Linked DNA regions of Danio rerio. The protein of the gene in region 2 purifies or fractionates together with the protein of the main gene of each other region. This does not show direct contact. Links are inferred from orthologs where the notes say so. Each region holds a gene or a part of one and is shown on either strand. Other genes may lie near its edges. The genes, in order: mlx and mlxipl.

The links.
Region 1: the proteins of mlxipl (region 2) and mlx purify together in Homo sapiens (affinity purification with western blotting; 3 studies listed by BioGRID and IntAct, counting the BioPlex papers as one, with this or other methods). This does not show direct contact. The link is inferred for Danio rerio from reciprocal best matches to the Homo sapiens genes MLXIPL and MLX.

Annotation. Positions count from the first base shown.
Region 1 is NC_133178.1:36,007,330-36,015,820, forward strand, and holds the start of mlx (max-like protein X), read right to left. Parts: upstream 8,293-8,491; 5' UTR 8,252-8,292; coding exon 8,210-8,251; intron 7,355-8,209; coding exon 7,315-7,354; intron 5,881-7,314; coding exon 5,791-5,880; intron 5,321-5,790; coding exon 5,211-5,320; intron 3,658-5,210; coding exon 3,555-3,657; intron 3,456-3,554; coding exon 3,356-3,455; intron 1-3,355. UniProt on the Homo sapiens protein: Transcription regulator. Forms a sequence-specific DNA-binding protein complex with MAD1, MAD4, MNT, WBSCR14 and MLXIP which recognizes the core sequence 5'-CACGTG-3'. The TCFL4-MAD1, TCFL4-MAD4, TCFL4-WBSCR14 complexes are transcriptional repressors.
Region 2 is NC_133180.1:4,380,773-4,389,263, forward strand, and holds part of mlxipl (carbohydrate-responsive element-binding protein), read right to left. Parts: intron 7,511-8,491; coding exon 7,428-7,510; intron 7,353-7,427; coding exon 7,233-7,352; intron 5,385-7,232; coding exon 5,257-5,384; intron 4,225-5,256; coding exon 4,101-4,224; intron 3,010-4,100; coding exon 2,880-3,009; intron 1,114-2,879; coding exon 989-1,113; 3' UTR 1-988. UniProt on the Homo sapiens protein: Binds DNA as a heterodimer with MLX/TCFL4 and activates transcription. Binds to the canonical E box sequence 5'-CACGTG-3'. Plays a role in transcriptional activation of glycolytic target genes. Involved in glucose-responsive gene regulation.

The DNA.
Region 1 (8,491 bases), on a different chromosome or scaffold from region 2:
CTAGAATTCTATAACTTTCAGAATTACCATAGCATTCATTCTGACCGTTCTCATATAAGACATCATATTTACATTCAAAGCTTCTATTGAGATTTTAAAATTAAGCTTTGAATGTCTGTCATCATATTTTATGACACCATTATTGTAAAAATATCTTTTTGGTAATATAGCTTATAAATATTTAGTTAAGATACTTGAACACCAGCAAAGATCTGGGGCCTGTTTCAGTAAGGAGGTTCAAACAACTCAGAGTTTAAACTTAAACTCTGAGTTGATTTACCGAGAGATTAAAAACTCAAAGTTTTGGGTTTCAGAATAGCTGAGTAGATCAACTCAGAGTTAAGCTCACACACCGTGACTATAAAAAGGCATTATTAATGGAGGGCAGATATTACGGGTGACCATGGCACCATCTTAAAAAAAGAGATCAGCATTTCTTTCTCCAGCTGAACTTGATGTGATGATGCAAAGTTATAGCAAATATGAGTGTATATATTTAAAACGAAGCAACCATCAGTGAAACAGAGACAGCCTGGGAAAACAGCTGCTCAAGTTAATGTGTAATTTTTCATTTAAATATTTAAGTATAATAAAATAAGTAATGTAATGTTTGACAATTATATTTTTTTCTAAACATTTATACATGTTTATCAAGTATTAATTGATTTAACAGTGAACTTGTGTGTCTGCCTTTTTTACTGATCAAGTGATAGTTTGATATAACATTTAGAAGGTAAGCAGAACTAGAAAAAAATGTTATAAGAATAATAATTCCATTAATCTAGTAACAGTACATGTCGAAGGTCAGTAAATTTAAGCTAATTATTTATGCTTTTAAAAAGGGACAAGCCATTCTCGTACGTGACTTTGTTCTGTGTGTGACTAAAATGTAGGCAATGTATGTTTCCATCCAAGTATATTACATAAATTTATGTGCAAAACTGGAATATTGCATAAAAGATGTGAATAAAGCAGCGTTGCCATCCAACGAGTCAAAGATAACAAAATTGTCACTTCCTGATTAACTGATTAATTATCAACAGTAAAAACAGAATTTACTGTGGTAGAAGAAGCTGTCAATTATTTCTTTATTTATAAATGTACTTGCGCCTCAGAGTCAGAAGACAATGCTGACACACGGTGAACACGTGGGGGCGTTTGAAGCCATGAGACGCGGAGATTCTTAACACGCTCCAGATGATCGGAAGTAATTAATTATATACGCTAATACTGAAACAGTTAAGGCATTTTAAAATGAGCAAAACAACATTTAAGATGTGTAGTGTGCTCAGCCTGCTGGTTTGTCCATTTACACACATTTTCATCATCATATCATAACCTTTTTTAATGCACATACTGTAATTTGTTCAGTAAAAGTGTTTCCATCATAGTTTATGCGCATATTTTCTATCGAATAAAAGGTTTTCCTACTCAGTTATGCATGTGTTTTTATGCATATTTTCAAAACTTATGTGCATCATGACGTGTCCATCAATCGTTTTTAGGCACATATTAAATATGAGCATCAAAAAAGTGGGTGGAAACGTAAGGCTACGGCGAGAAAAAACACTTCATCTTTAAAAAAGGGAGGAGACCAACAGAAATTCTGAGTTTAGAGAATAAAACCTGCTTCTGACCAGGTTAGGTTCACAGAGTAAGTTACCATGGTAACTGACTCTGAGTTAAAGTTACCTTTCTTTCAGAAACAGGCTTGACTTACCCTGGTTTCTCCAGTTTGACAAACCTGCCATTTTGAAACGGAAAACCCAGAGTTTCCCTCATTTCAGGGTTAAAATACTTTACTTAACCTCCTTTCTGAAACAGGCCCCTGGACCTCACTTTTAGTAAACCTTGCAAATGAGCGACTGATCTGCTGATGCATCAGCTGACTGACAATATTTTTAAACATTTCCTTTAAAGCTTTTAGAAAAGTGCTCCACGTCTCACGCCTTCAAATTTCACCACGCGCCCACTGCGTGTCGGGATTGCCTTCTAAAGTGCAAGTCATTTATTAAATGAAAAGATTCGCGCAGCTTCTCCTACCGCAGCAAATTCCGTTTTTACTGTTGATATTTGGTGCCAGATAATCAAGAAGAGACAATTTTGTTGGCTTTGACTTGTTGGATGGAAACGCTGCTTTATACATATATATTTTTTATGCAATAATCCAGTTTTGCGCATAAATTTATTTAGCATTTTTGGATGGAAACATAGCTACGGTCAGTGATGTTATCAGCACTCAAGCAGCCAATAGTGTTCAGTTTTTTTTGCTGTCTCCTCCCTCAACATTTTATTGGCTGTGCTTGACTGAGCTGTTGTGGAACGAGTTGTTGTCAGATCATGTAGTGTGTGACCCCCTCTTGTGGATAATTTAGGTAGTGTTGCGTAGTGTAAACACCACAGCGATTTAAAGACACAAAATCAAGTCGTGTAGTGTGAACGGTACAGTGAGTTCCTTTCAAACGCATGCAAATTCAACAGACCAGAAACACAAGCTCCTGCAACAAGATTCACTGCGTTCAAAAGTTCAGTGAACCCTGACCTGTGAAATCGCATCACGTAACTGCATGATCCATTCCAAACGTGACTTTTCTGTACTGAAATTTCATAAAGCAAGCAATTGCTCCATAATTTGATGTCTTAATCATCTTGTTTTATCCTGCCCAGTTTCACAGCGTAATATGACAGAATTTTGCAACCTCAAACTCTAGTGTGACCACTGCTTTACACATTTACAAAAGGACTGTATTACATATGCCAGGCCAGTATTTGGTCTACTTGTTAGTGCTACCTTTAAGGAAGTGACAAAAGGTCATTGGCAGCTTGTTGCTGGTGTGTACATAAAATTTGCAGTGTGTGTGTGTAAGATGCGTCTCCACTTTTAGTTGTAATATGAAGTAAATCGACACTTAGATTATGGATTGTTAGCAAACAACAACACCTCCACATACTCTGTCAATGTTATGTGTTTGTGCTTGTCTTTAATCTACATTACACTAAATGCATACCATTCAGCACACATGACGTCATAAATTTCAAAGATTGTTTTTTCAGGCGTTTACACACACTCAACAATTGCAGCGTTTTCAAAAACTTCTACCTTGTGACCCATTTTTAGTCCCCAAAAATGCTGTTTTGTAAACGAACAGGAAAAACTCTTAAAAATAGTTGTTTTTGGTTGAAAACTTTGTTCTCCTAAAAGGGTGTTTTTTATCTTTCTTAACAGAAGAATGATGGTGTCAGATAAAGCCTTATGAAACCTGAAAAAGCCCTACAGGAGTGTAACTGAATCTATACTTGTCTGCATGAGCTGTTAAAATGTTTCCGGCCCCCCTCTAAATAACCAACTACTCACGTTTTCATAATTTTCAGCGCCATCACCTCCTTCCTAAGTGTGGAAACATCCTCTTCCTGCTTCTTCTTTTCTTTGTGGAGAAACTGAATGTAGTCGATTGCTACACACACAGACACACACACACACATATAAAGTTGCTGAGCCTTTTCATTCCACACAAGATGACAACAGCATATAAATAGGTATTGAAGGTTCTCACTCTTTTGCAGGACTGTAGCTTTGCTCATCTTTTGTGTGGCCATGGAGAAGTCTGACTGCTGCTGACATGTAGGCACTATAGACTGCAGGTCATCATAGCCTTTCTGTGAGATTAAAGATCCATGGAGATAATTTGAAGGAGTTAAACTTGCAACATGCAGAACTGTGCTATTTTATAAGCAAGCTACTTAGGGTTTTCAATGGCTTGGTGCAAAGTAAACACAACTCATCTTAGTATCTGCCAAGAGTTTGGGTTTTGCACTTGGAAATACAATGTGCTAATCTCGCTGTAGTTTTCCAGCAAAATAAAAGCCTGATGTTTTAAAAATAAAAAGTAATTAAGATTTAATATAAACATTATAACATACGTTTACAACTGCTAAAATTAAATTGATTCTTACACTTTATTTTTACATTGACATATTACAATATTATTATTTCTTTCACTTAACTGGTAGTAGCAATAATATACAGCATTGTGAAATTGATTTATTTTTGTATTTTTTTGTGGCCTAATGATGCAAATCAACAAAACATATCAACAGACGTACAACAGCAAACGTAGAGCTTTAAAATAATCATAATAGCAATAATAGTTTTTATAATAATAATGATCCTACTTAGGTCCCCTCCAAAGAGCCGCCATAAAATGAGCACAAAATTTTCTTGATTTTATTTGATACATTTTCTTTATGTCCTTGTTACAGTGTAACTATTTATGTAACTACTGTTTTACATGTCAATTAATTACATGTACCTACTAAATATAGGTTAGTTGTGCGTAATTATGCATAACTAACTCATTTTTATAATTGGTGTACGTATATGTAAGTAGTGGAACATATATATGGACACCTTAAATGAAAGTGTTACCTTTTTCTATTTCTTAGATTTATTATGTTTCCTAAACTAGTAAACACAAGTCAAATTAAAGCTGCAAGCAGCAATGAAAGGGACCTGGGACCACTCGGTGGCCTCAGGATGACAGAGCACAGCGAACAATAATATATTAAGCTGATAAATATCTAAAAAAAAATTCAGAAATCATCAATATATGCCAAACTTCCTTCTGTCAGCAGGTGGTGCTATGACTGTGACTCGATATTGGCATGCAGATGTCTTCAGGAGAGGAATCTTATCGAACGTGAGAATTTTCAGGCAGGTCTGTCAGTTTTAATATGTGTGCGTGAATCGTAGCTTGGAGGCTAGTCTGTTTAATGTGCATGGGTGGAGCTGTCATGTCATTTTGCCACGCCCACTTCGGAAACCTATAACAAACGTAAATTTTTGCTACTTCTGGGGCAGATGCAATGTTTTGTGAGTTTTCGGGCATGTTTAGATCAAAATCTAAACAAAATAGCGATTCATTCTGGATAAGAAAAAGAAGAGAAAGAAGAAACAGCAATTCCAACAGGGTCAGTTGTATAAACTGCTTATTGTATTCTTAAAACGTTCATCACCTTTTTTCCCCTTTAAGACTGGGCATTTGTATTTTAAAGTCAATTACAAAAAGAATGATCACTCTACTTTGAATCCAAACCAAACTGGTTACTCTAGTTTGTCATACTAGTGTACTAATAAACCAGAAAAGACTTTTATTTCGTCAGCTACTTTTTTCCATGTGTCTGTCTGTTAGCCTGAAAAGCGTCACACATACCTTGATGGCGTCCCTGCGTTTCTGCTCTGCCTGCGTGTGTGCGTGCCTCCTGCGGTCTTTATATGACTCTTTATAAGGCGTCTCATGTCTGTTGTCACTGTCTTCATCATCTAAACCAATGGGAGGAACAAATATCTGTTAGCCATCAGCAGTCATTAAGATCACACAAAAAAACTGAAGCAAAAGACACAAAACAAAATAAACTAAATTGATAACAAAAGTATTTCATTGTCCATCTTAAAATGCAGATAATAGGGAAATATTGACACATTTTCATTCACTCTGTTACTCAAGTGGATTATCAAAAAAGATTATAACAAGTCAGCTGTTTAAAACGTATTTAAATATACATGAAGTCTGTCATGCAAAATCACCAAAGGAAAATCCAGTTAAGACGATAATAAAAAGAAGGAAAAGGGAATGAATAAAATGCATGCATGGATGAATCATTCACAGTGAAAGGTGACTGATGAATAACCTTGTGATTCTGAACAGGAAACAATGGGAAATTCAGAGTAAAGAGTTTGATATACACAACAAACGGCTATGTTTGACACTGAATAAATAGCAGTATCATCACCTGTGTTTGGTACTGAAGAGGCACTTGTGGATCCGATACTGTTGGCTCTAGACACCAAACTTCCTTTACGTGCGCTCTCTGCAAAAAAACCTAGAGATATGGAGGTCAAGGAAAATGTAAATATTTCAATAAAATTGTCATGTGTTTGGTAAGTCCAATATTGCACAGAACAAAGCAAACAGTTTTTAATACTAGTGTTAGTTTTATAGATAAAAAAAAAATAGAATGATAGAATTAGTTTTCATACGTGCATGTTTGTAATTAATATATTAGCTTTAAGTAACTATTATAGAACTAATAACCTTGTTACCCTAGTGCATCACTTTCTTTTCTAAAAATTTCCCAAATGATGTTTAAAAGAGCAAAAAATATTATGTCTGATAATATTTTTTCGTCTGAAAAAAGTCTTATCCATTTTATTTCGGCTAGAATGAAAGCAGTTTTTAATTTTTAAAAGCCATTTTAGTGTCAAAATTATGAGCCCCTTTAAGCCAATTTTTTTTTGGATAGTCTACAGAACAAACCATCGTTATACAATAACTTGCCTAATTACCCTAACCTGCCTAGTTAACCTAATTAACCTAGTTAAGCCTTTAAATGTCACTTTAAGCTGTATAGAAGTGTCTTGAAAAATATCTAGTCAAATATTATTTACTGTCATCATGGCAAAGATAAAAGAAATCAGTTATTAGAAATTAGTTATTAAAACTATTATGCTTAGATATGTGTTGAGAAAATCTCTCTGTTAAACAGAAATTGGGGGAAAATAAAGAGGGGGGCTGTTATTCTAATTTAACATAGTTTCCATTTTTGTATATAGGGATCTATTTTCACTAGTATGTACATCTAGTTTTGGCAACTATGTATTCCAAATGTGACATATTTTATACACTGATTGAAGATTATTTGACACTAGTTTCTATTATTTAGACTCTAGTGCTTTATCGTTACATACTGGTACCTATAAACAGATGCTTTAATAGGTAGTATCTAATGAAAAGTACTTCTATCTATTAAAAAGTACAAATTAATGAGTACTAATGTCGTATCTTTTCACATCTTTTATTTAATGCTATGTCAGATTTACTGGCTATCTTTATGGCAAAAAAAATTCAGAATAAAAGAAATATTCAAACAAACACAAGTTATCGACAGACTTTTTAATCATTAATAAATCATTAATAAATGACAAAAGCGCTAAATTGTTTTGCGTCAAAACTGCTAAATAGTTCACTTAATTTAAAAATAAAGTATTACACAAACGTTAGGAGCAGGACAGTGCACTAAACTATGTTTCTCTCTATGAGAGAGGTTTTCTTCTATGTTTAAGTAGAAATGCATGTATCAATAAGTAATAGTACTTAAAATGATACTAGTATCAAAAAGTACAGGTAGCATGACATTAGATATATTTCTAGAAATATTAAAGACAGCTTGCTATAATAACCTTTCTGATTTTCGTTATTAAAGTCATTTTTTTCATCTTGGTATCGACTGACAGTTGAGACTTATTGATCTACTTACTGTGGTCAAAGCCGTTGTCACTGAAGGTGCCATCCGTCTGCTGAGACATGGTGACAGGAGGTGGAGAAAGACAAACAGAAAAAACAGTCAAAACAAGACACACTGATGTTGATAACCAACCCAAACACAGGCTGAGTGACCTGTCCTGCCTTACACCTTTATCTAGGACACATCTAACTCCCTACTGTGATGTGTCCCAAATAAATCCCTTTAAAAGCTGATATTTCATCTACATACATATTGTGTCTCAAAACTTTCAGATTGAGCAATCACTGCCATATTGTCACAGTGCCATTAGCGTGTGGAAATGAGGGTGTACTTTATTTAGTGCGTATGAAGAGAATAACGTTAAAAAAGGGACAATAAAGAAATCAAACAAAGGGTCAAACAAACAAAAGAAAGAACCTGGTAGAATCGAGTCCTTCAAGGGAGTCGGTTCGGTAGTTCGAACGAATTGTCTGCGCCAAATAAACTGTCAGCCTAGATAGGCAGTTACATACGTTTTGAAACACATCCAGATATAGTCAATGTAGCCAACAAGCAAGTTAGCTTAGCGGTTTCAACTCTTGCACATCTGTTACATAGCTTCCTTAATACTATCAACAACATAGCTTAAACAGACTGTTATTCAAATAAACCTTCAGAATAATAAATGTTTTTGTTTCGGCAGTGATTTGTTTTCAATATCAGCTCTGGAAAGACAGATTAGGGTCATGTGGGAAGGAGGATAATTGTTCTTTGACTTGCTGAACTTTAAGGTTAGCCAGCTGAGCTAGAGAGTGAAACCAAACCCTACGGACCAGCGATTAAAAGACACACGCATCACGAGGGTGATTCTGAAGGAAAGGGTTGTATAAAACCAAAATATGTTTTTTATGTGACTAGTTTTGCTTACTTTTAGCCAGGGATCCTCCGGCGACGCGCTGTTTTCCGTCATTTTGGAATAAACAATGACGGGATGTTACAAGCTGCGCCTCCTAGTGGCCATAATCTGTCTACAAACTTATCCTCCCACAGCGTTTGACACATTTTGGTGCCTTTCGGTTAACTCATTAGTGTTGATTCGTTCATTCACGTTTTCTTTACACATCACGTTAACGTATTAATACAGTCCATATATGCATCAGACTATAATTTATCTATGCATCTCTTAGCAGTATGTGGTCATTTATTCCAC
Region 2 (8,491 bases):
GTGTGTGCTGTCATTGCCTGTAGCTGTGCGATGAAGTGTTATGATTGGCTGTAGTTTGAGAGAGTGTGCTGTCATTGGCTGTAGCTATAGGATGAAGTGTTATGATTGGCTGTAGTTTAAGAGTGTGTGCTGTCATTGGCTATAGCTGTGGGATGAAGTGTTATGATTGGCTGTCATTCTGACAGCGTGTGCTGTCATTGGCTGCAGCTGTGGGATGAAGTGTTATGATTGGCCGTCATTCTGAGAGTGTGTGCTGTCATTGGCTGTGGAATGAAGTTTTATGATTGGCTGTTATTTTGAGATTGTGTGCTGTCATTGGCTGGAGCTGTGGGATGAAGTTTTATAATTGGCTGTCATTCTAGGAGAGTGTGCTGTCATTGGCTGGAGCTGTGGGATGAAGTTTTATAATTGGCTGTCATTCTAGGAGAGTGTGCTGTCATTGGCTATAGCTGTGGAATGAAGCTTTATGATTGGCTGTCATTTTGAAAGCATGTGCTGTCATTGGCTATAGCTGTGGAATGAAGCTTTATGATTGGCTGTCATTTTGAAAGCGTGTGCTGTCATTGGCTGTGGAATGAAGCTTTATGATTGGCTGTCATTTTGAAAGCGTGTGCTGTCATTGGCTATAGCTGTGGAATGAAGCTTTATGATTGGCTGTCATTTTGAAAGCGTGTGCTGTCATTGGCTATAGCTGTGGAATGAATCTTTATGATTGGCTGTCATTTTGAAAGCGTGTGCTGTCATTAGCTGTAGCTGTGGGATGAAGTTTTATAATTGGCTGTCATTCTGGGAGAGTGTGCTGTCATTGGCTGTAGCTGTGGAATGAAGCTTTATGATTGGCTGTCGTTCTGAGAGCGTGTGCTGTCATTGGCTGTATCTATAGATGGAAATTATTTGATTTGCTGTCATTCTGAGTGCATGTGCTGTCATTGGCTGTATCTACGGGACAAAGTTTATTGATTGGCTGTCATTCTGAGAGCGTGTGCTGTCATTGGCTGTAGCTGTGCGATGAATGTCCGTGAGTGACTGCCTGGACGGCTTGTTCAGGAACCAAACTTGGGTCTGAAAGGATTGATGTGGAAGTGCTGAGCAGACGAAGTGAACTCAAAACAGCTGGAAGAAGAGAGACAGAAGAAATTATTAATCCACAGAATTCATTTTCCTTATTTAAGTAATCTACACTGTTTAGTATTGTTCCTTTTTTCAGTCATTTATTTCTCATTTATTGTATATTTTATTATTTTAATAATGCAAGTCATTTCAGTTTTATAAATAGTTCAAATGAATTTGCAATACTTAAAACACGTTATGCCAATAAAGCAAATGAAACTTGATAGAGTCAGAAAGAAAAAGAAGTACTACTATTAAACCTATATTTAAAGATTAGACTTCATGTCTAATCATATAAGCATGTTAAATGCCGTTGTAAAAGCCAGCTAATTATTTTTTTAAATTATTTAATAATTTCTCAGACTTTTAAAATTAATTAAACTTTTTAAAAGAAATTAGGTTGTATTTTTATTCAGAAAGAAAACAAAAAAATGATAAAAAATGACAGTAAACACATTTATAATGTCAAAAAAGTAATTTTATTTATCAAATAAATGATCTAATAATGTTTAATTATGTTATTGACATTATTTTGTTTCAATAAAATGCTATACTAACTGTTTTTTTGTTTTTTACTTTTTTATTTAGAGAAAAGAAAGAGGAAAACTATTTTCGAGTTCTGGCTTTTCTGCTACTTACCAAAAGGATTTGAATTAAGTACTTGTCAATAGTTGGAATAATTTCTAGAATTTTCCCAAGGTATAATGTTATAAATGAGTACTCCAATTCTTCTCCAGTTATCTTTTTTTATTTTAGTCGCTATTTCACACTAGAATGTTTGTATTTTTGGGGCAAGCCCAAAAAACATGAAAATGGTTAGCCAGCTATACTAACTTTCTAAATGATTATTAATGATTTTAATGATTTTTTTATTTGATATTTAACTTTTTAATACAAAACTAAGTTGTATTTTTATTTAGAAAGAATACATGAAATTGATAAAAATTTACAGTAAAGACATTCATAATGTCAAAAAAAATCTGTTATTCGAATAAATGAGTATCTAATTATCTAATTCTGTTATTAACATTATTCTGTCTTAATAACATGCTATACTAACTTTCTAAATGATTATTAATGATTTTTTTAATATGATATTTTATTTAAACCTTTTTTTATTGAAACTAAGTAGTATTTTTATTCAGAAAGAATACATGAAATTGATAAAAATTGACAGTAAAGACATTTATAATGTAAAAATGATGTTATTCGAATAAATGATCATCTAAATATTTAATTCTGTTATTAACATTATTCTGTTTTAATGACATGCTATACTAACTTTCTATTCATCAAATGTGATTCTATGAAATTTCTTCTGGAGAAAGTCTTGTTTGTTTTATTTTGGCTAAAATAGTATCAGTTTAATTTATTTTAAGCCATTGTAAGGTCAATATTATTAGCCCCCTTAAGCAATTTTTGTTTTGGATTGTCTACAAAACAAACCACTGTTATACAATGACTTGCCTAATCACCCAAACTTTAACCTACTCTTCCTTTTTTTAAGCTGAATACTAGCATCTTGAAGAATATCTAGTCAAACAATATTTACTGTCATCATGGCAAAGATAAAATAAACCAGTTATTAGAAATGAGTTATTAAAACTATTATGATTATAAATGTGTTGAAAAAATCTGCTCTCCGTTAAACAGAAATTGGGAAAAAAATAAACAGAGGGGCTCATAATTCTGACTTTAACTGTTTATGGATGTAGTTTAAACGGCAGTAAAATGTTTTGAGGTAAATGAAATAGTAAGCGGTCACTCACTGGGTCTGAGTGTAGGCAGAGAGCAGTGCTGGTCCAGCCAGGAGAGCGTGCTGCGACACAGATCATCAACACTGGCTGTGGAAACCATACTGTTAAACGACTCGAACAGCGGCTCGATGATGATGCTGAACTGAGAGAACAGCAGTTCAGGAAAATATAAAGCACTTTCACCAGCACTGATGTTTTTGGATGCTAGAGACTAGATTCACAAAACATTCTGGAAGCGCACCAATTGTCGGTCGCCACCGTCCGATGAACCAACAACTATTCCAGCATGTGCTTTATGCAGCGGATGCCTTTCCAGTTGTAACCCAGTACTGTGACACACTTATACACACTCATTCACACACACTCATACACTACGGCCAATTTAGCTTATTCAATTCACCCATAGCGCATGTGTTTGGACTGTGGGGGGAACCGGAGCACCCGGAGAAACCCCACGCCAAAACAAGGAGAACAGGCAAACTCTACATAGAAATAACAACTGGCCCAGCCGGGACTCGAACCAGTGACCTTCTTTCTGTGAGGCGACTGTGCTAACCACTGAGCCACCATGCCGCCCAACACCAGCTTAGAAATGGGTTTTATAAAACACAGCACAGCGAGGGGTCCACGTGACGTGATATTATGAACGTGATGTAATAACGACAAACAGGAAAATAATATGATAAGATACATCATATAACTCAAGATATCGAACTATTACAGGGCGAGGCAGTGGCGCAGTAGGTAGTGCTGTCGCCTCACAGCAAGAAGGTCGCTGGTTCGAGTCTCCATGTGCTCCGGTTTCCCCCACAGTCCAAAGACATGCGGTACAGGTGAATTGGGTAGGCTAAATTGTCCGTAGTGTATGAGTGTGTGTGGGTAAATGTGTATGGATGTTTCCCAGAGATGGGTTGCAGCTGGAAGGGCATCCAAAAAAAGAAAGAAAAAAAAATCAAAAAGTTATGAATTGCTAAGAGATTGTGTGGTGCTCAGGCTCCAGCTTTATGTTGATCATATTAAAACAATCTTAAGTTGCTGTTTTTAAGTTAACTATACCATGATTTTTCCAGTCTGGCCCACTTGGGAACAGCTTTTTCTCCATGTGGCCCCTGAGCTAAAATGAGTTTGACACCCCTGCCTTAAAGGTAGTTCGCTATAATGTGTTATTAGCAGTATTTTTCATGCAGTATGGGTTCATTGGTTCCTCAACAGACACAGAGCTTTGCAGGATACAATCCAGAACTTCCAGTTCTGCAGCGTTTGAGCTCTCACATATTCTCTGAACTTCTCCCTCATGTGGTCAAACCTCTGCCGTGTTATTGGAACGCCTGTAGCGGGGAGCTGCTGCTGACACACACTAAACAGAGTTTCAAAATAATGCATTAGTGTTAACGTCTCCTCTGGACTATCACACATATCACACTTTCCAAGTACAATTTTGATTTTGTACTAACAGTAAACACTTTTTTTGTAATAAGGTCTGGTTTTGTGGTGGCTGAACTTTAAATTAAATTAATATAATCCTAATTCAGGTTATGAGAGATAACAGTAAACTGAGCTACTGTAAGGTCACATCTGCTTGAAATTGATTTAGTTGAAAATATCCATTAGAAACTTAAAAGTAATTAAAAAGTAATCAGATGTTACTTTACTAACGTAAAGCAATTAAAAAGGTACACTACTTATTAAATTTTGTGTAATCTATTACATTTCCAAAGTATGATCCCCAACACTGGCTATACAGTTGAAGTCAGAATTATTAGCCCCCCCTGAATTATTAGACCGCTTGTTTATTTTTTATCCAATTTCTGTTTAACAGAGAGCAGATTTTTTCAACACATTTCTAAACATAACAGTTTTAATAATTCATCTCTAATAACTGATTTATTTTCTTTTTGCCATGACGACAGTAAATAATATTTGACTAGATATTCTTCAAGACACTTCTATACAGCTTAAAGTGACATTTAAAGGCTTAACTAGGTTAATTAGGTTAACTAGGCAGGTTAGGGGAATTAGGCAAGTGTTTGTATAATGATGGTTTGTTCTGTAGATTATCGAAAAAATATATAGTTTTAAGGGGCTAATAATTTTGTCCCTAAAACGGTGTTTAAAAAATTAAAAACTGATTTTATTCTAGCCAAAATAAAACAAATAAGACTTTCTCCAGAAGAAAAAATATTATCAGACATACTGTGAAAATTTCCTTGCTCTGTTAAACATAATTTGGGAAATATTTTAAAAAGAAGGAAAAAAAAAATCAAAGGGGGCTAATAATTCTGACTTCAACTGTATGTACCCACAAGCACATATTTCTCAGTTCTCAAATATGTAGCCCTGGGCACATTTTCCCAATAATAAGAACTTTAATGAGTTGGATTACACTGACTTGATGGCGGAATTGAGTGCCAGGATCTGGTCTCTCAGCCTCTGCGCCTCCTCATGAAGCTGTGCTCTCTCCTGCTGCATCTTACTGATGTACTCTGCCGTTTTCTGCAAAGTCGTGGCTTTACTGATCTGTGAACCGCAGAAATTACAGGAAAAAGTGTCAGCGAGGAACCAAGAATACCCAATGAAGCTAGTAGTCTGTTTCAGATCATCATCAAACAAAGTTAAATATTAGGTGACACAAGTAAACACATCATGCAGTTTTTTTAATGCAACTTTTTATAGTTAAGGCAAAACAAAATACAAAATAGGGCGAGGCAGTGGCGCAGTAGGTAGTGCTGTCGCCTCACAGCGAGAAGGTCGCTGGGTCGCTGGTTCGAACCTCGGCTCAGTTGGCGTTTCCAAGTGGCGTTTGCATGTTCTCCCTGCCTTCGCGTGGGTTTACTCCCAGAGCTGCGGTTTCCCCAACAGTCAAAGACATGCGGTACAGGTGAATTGGGTAGACTAAATTGTCCGTAGTGTGTGTGCGAATGTGTGTGTGTGTGTGTGGATGTTTCCCAGAGATGGGTTGCGCCTGGTAGGGCATCCGCTGTGTAAAAACTTGCTGGATAAGTTGGCGGTTCATTCCGCTGTGGCGACCCGAAAGCCGACAAGAAAATGAATGAATGAATGAAAATACAAAATAGCCCTGTGTGAAAAAGTATAAGCAAAAACACCAAAGATGCATTAGAAATAAAAAATTCTATTAATTCAGCACAGCTAAAGTGTACTTAATGCAACCTGTAAGTATTAATAATAATCTAAAAACTTTGTAAAATTTATTGAAATACCTTTGCATAGACGAAGAGTGTATATTATTCATTTATTCATTAATATTCCTTTGGCTTAGTCCCTTATTTATCAGGAGTCGCCTCAGTGAAATGAACCGCCAACTACTCCAGCATATGAAGCGGATGCCCTTGCAGCCACACTTCAAGCATGTGTGCATGTTCACCATTTTAGACAAAGTTTACTTTATTTTATTTAGGTCTACACTACCTACCAAAAGTCTCGTCGTCAATCTCAGATGTAAGAGCAACAGATAATAACTTCATGACTAGATCATTTGGAAAAGTGGCAGAAAGTCTATTTCTCCCATGAATCATCTGTTGAGCTGCATCCCAATCATCACAAATACTGCAGAAGACCTACTGGAACCAGCATGGAGCCAAGATTCTCACAGAAATCAGTCAAGTTTGGTGAAGGAAAACTCTTGGTTTGGGGTAACATTCAGTATGGGGGTGTGCGAGAGATCTGCAGAGTGGATGATCAACATCAACAGCCTGAGGTATCAAGACATTTGTGCTGCCCATTACATTACAAACCACAGGAGAGGGACAATTCTCCAGCAGGATAGCGCTTCTTCTCATACTTCAGCCTCCACATCAAAGCTCCTGAAAGCAAAGAAGGTCAAGCTGCTCCAGGATTGGCCAGCCCAGTCACCAGATATCAACATTATTGAGCAAGATGAAGGAGGAGGCATTGAAGATATACACAAAGGGTCTTGATGAACTCTGGGAGTCCTGCAGGAAGGCTTTCTCCTTCATTCCAGATGACTTTATTAATCAGTGATTTGAGTCATGTCAGAGATGTATGGATGCAGTCCTCCAAGCTCATGATGGAGTCAGACACAATATTCATTCTTTCTCCACTGCAGCAGGACTTTATATTCTATACTGGACATTATTTCAGTTCAGTGATGAGACTTTAGCCTAAGCAGAGTCAGAGCTTACTGTCCTAATGACATCAATTATAATCAAGGCATGATCATATTTAATTGTGCTCAAATAGCGTAATCTAGAGGCCTTTGCCTTTCATATAAGCCACTTCTGATACCAAATGATCAACTAGAAGTCATGTTATTATTTGTCGTTCTTAAAACTTGCATAGTCAGGACTTTTGTCAGGTATTGTAGTGACTGAAGGCAGTGTACTTTACCTTTATACTGGGCTGTGAGCTCAGAGTCGTCACCAGACTGTGTAACGTATCAAACCCCAGCTTGATGTTGAACCGTCTCTTCTGTTCGGCAGAGATGTGTGTGATCCGTCGTGTGTCTGTCTGCAAGATCATAGAGATGTGTAAGAGACTCAACTCAAACTGTGTGCTTATAAAATGTTTTAAGCAGAAACTTACTCGTGAGGACTCCAACTTTGACTCTGGGCTTTTCTCAGCTGCACTGGTAGGTGATGTCTGACCCATGCTTCCTGGAAAACTAACTGCAAATATAAAACACATTTGTGTTGATGCTCATTTCTGGATGAAAACATTTTTTAGGGATGCACTGATATCATTTTTTCGGAACTGATCCGATCCTGTTGACAAAATTCTGAGAATCGACCGATACAGATTCGATCCCGCAAAATGTAAAATGTGAAAATTAGGGTTGTGCTGCTCTGAAAATAGCAACATAACGCGCCAAACACGTCTAGCGTCTTATTGCGCTGGGTGTATGAAAAGACCCTTAGGGTCCTATCATACACCCGGCACATTGTAGCTCAAGGCGCGACGCAATTGTTTGCTAGTTTCAGCTCGGCGCAAGGGTCATTTTGACGTTTTGTGCCACGCTGTTTAAATAGCAAATGCATTTGCACTCATATGTGCGCCCATAGGCGTTCTGATCTAAAAAAGCAGGCGTGTTTTGGCGCGTTGCTATTTTGAGATACTATAAGAGTCGGTTCTTTAGACCAGAACAAAGCCGGTCTATTGTCCAACGCAGAGTGCGTAAATTGTGTGCCTTGCTTACACACTGCTTAAGATGTAGAGCAATACGCAAATATCTTTACAAATGAAAAAGAATTAAAATATTAAGTAAGCGACTTACAAATGAGGAAAAGGAAGCAATTTACGCAACTATAAGAGCAACAATGAATAAGTGCTGTAGGCAAGTTTCAGGTCTGTAAAGTCTAAGAAGCAACATTAGTAATTTTTTTTGGTAGTTAGTGGAGGAGCCAGAGAGGCAATTGCAGATTAGGAAGTGAAGTGGAGACTAAATAGTTGAGTTTTTAGTCGTTTCTTGAAGACAGCGAGTGACTCTGCCGTTCTGATGCAGTTAGGGAGTTCATTCCACCAACTGGGCAGATTGAATGTGAGAGTTCGGGAAAGTGAAGTCGCTTTGAAGTCGCTTTGTAAGCAAACATCAGAGCTTTGAATTTGATGCAAGCAGCAACTGGCAGCCAGTGCAAACGGATGAGTAGTGG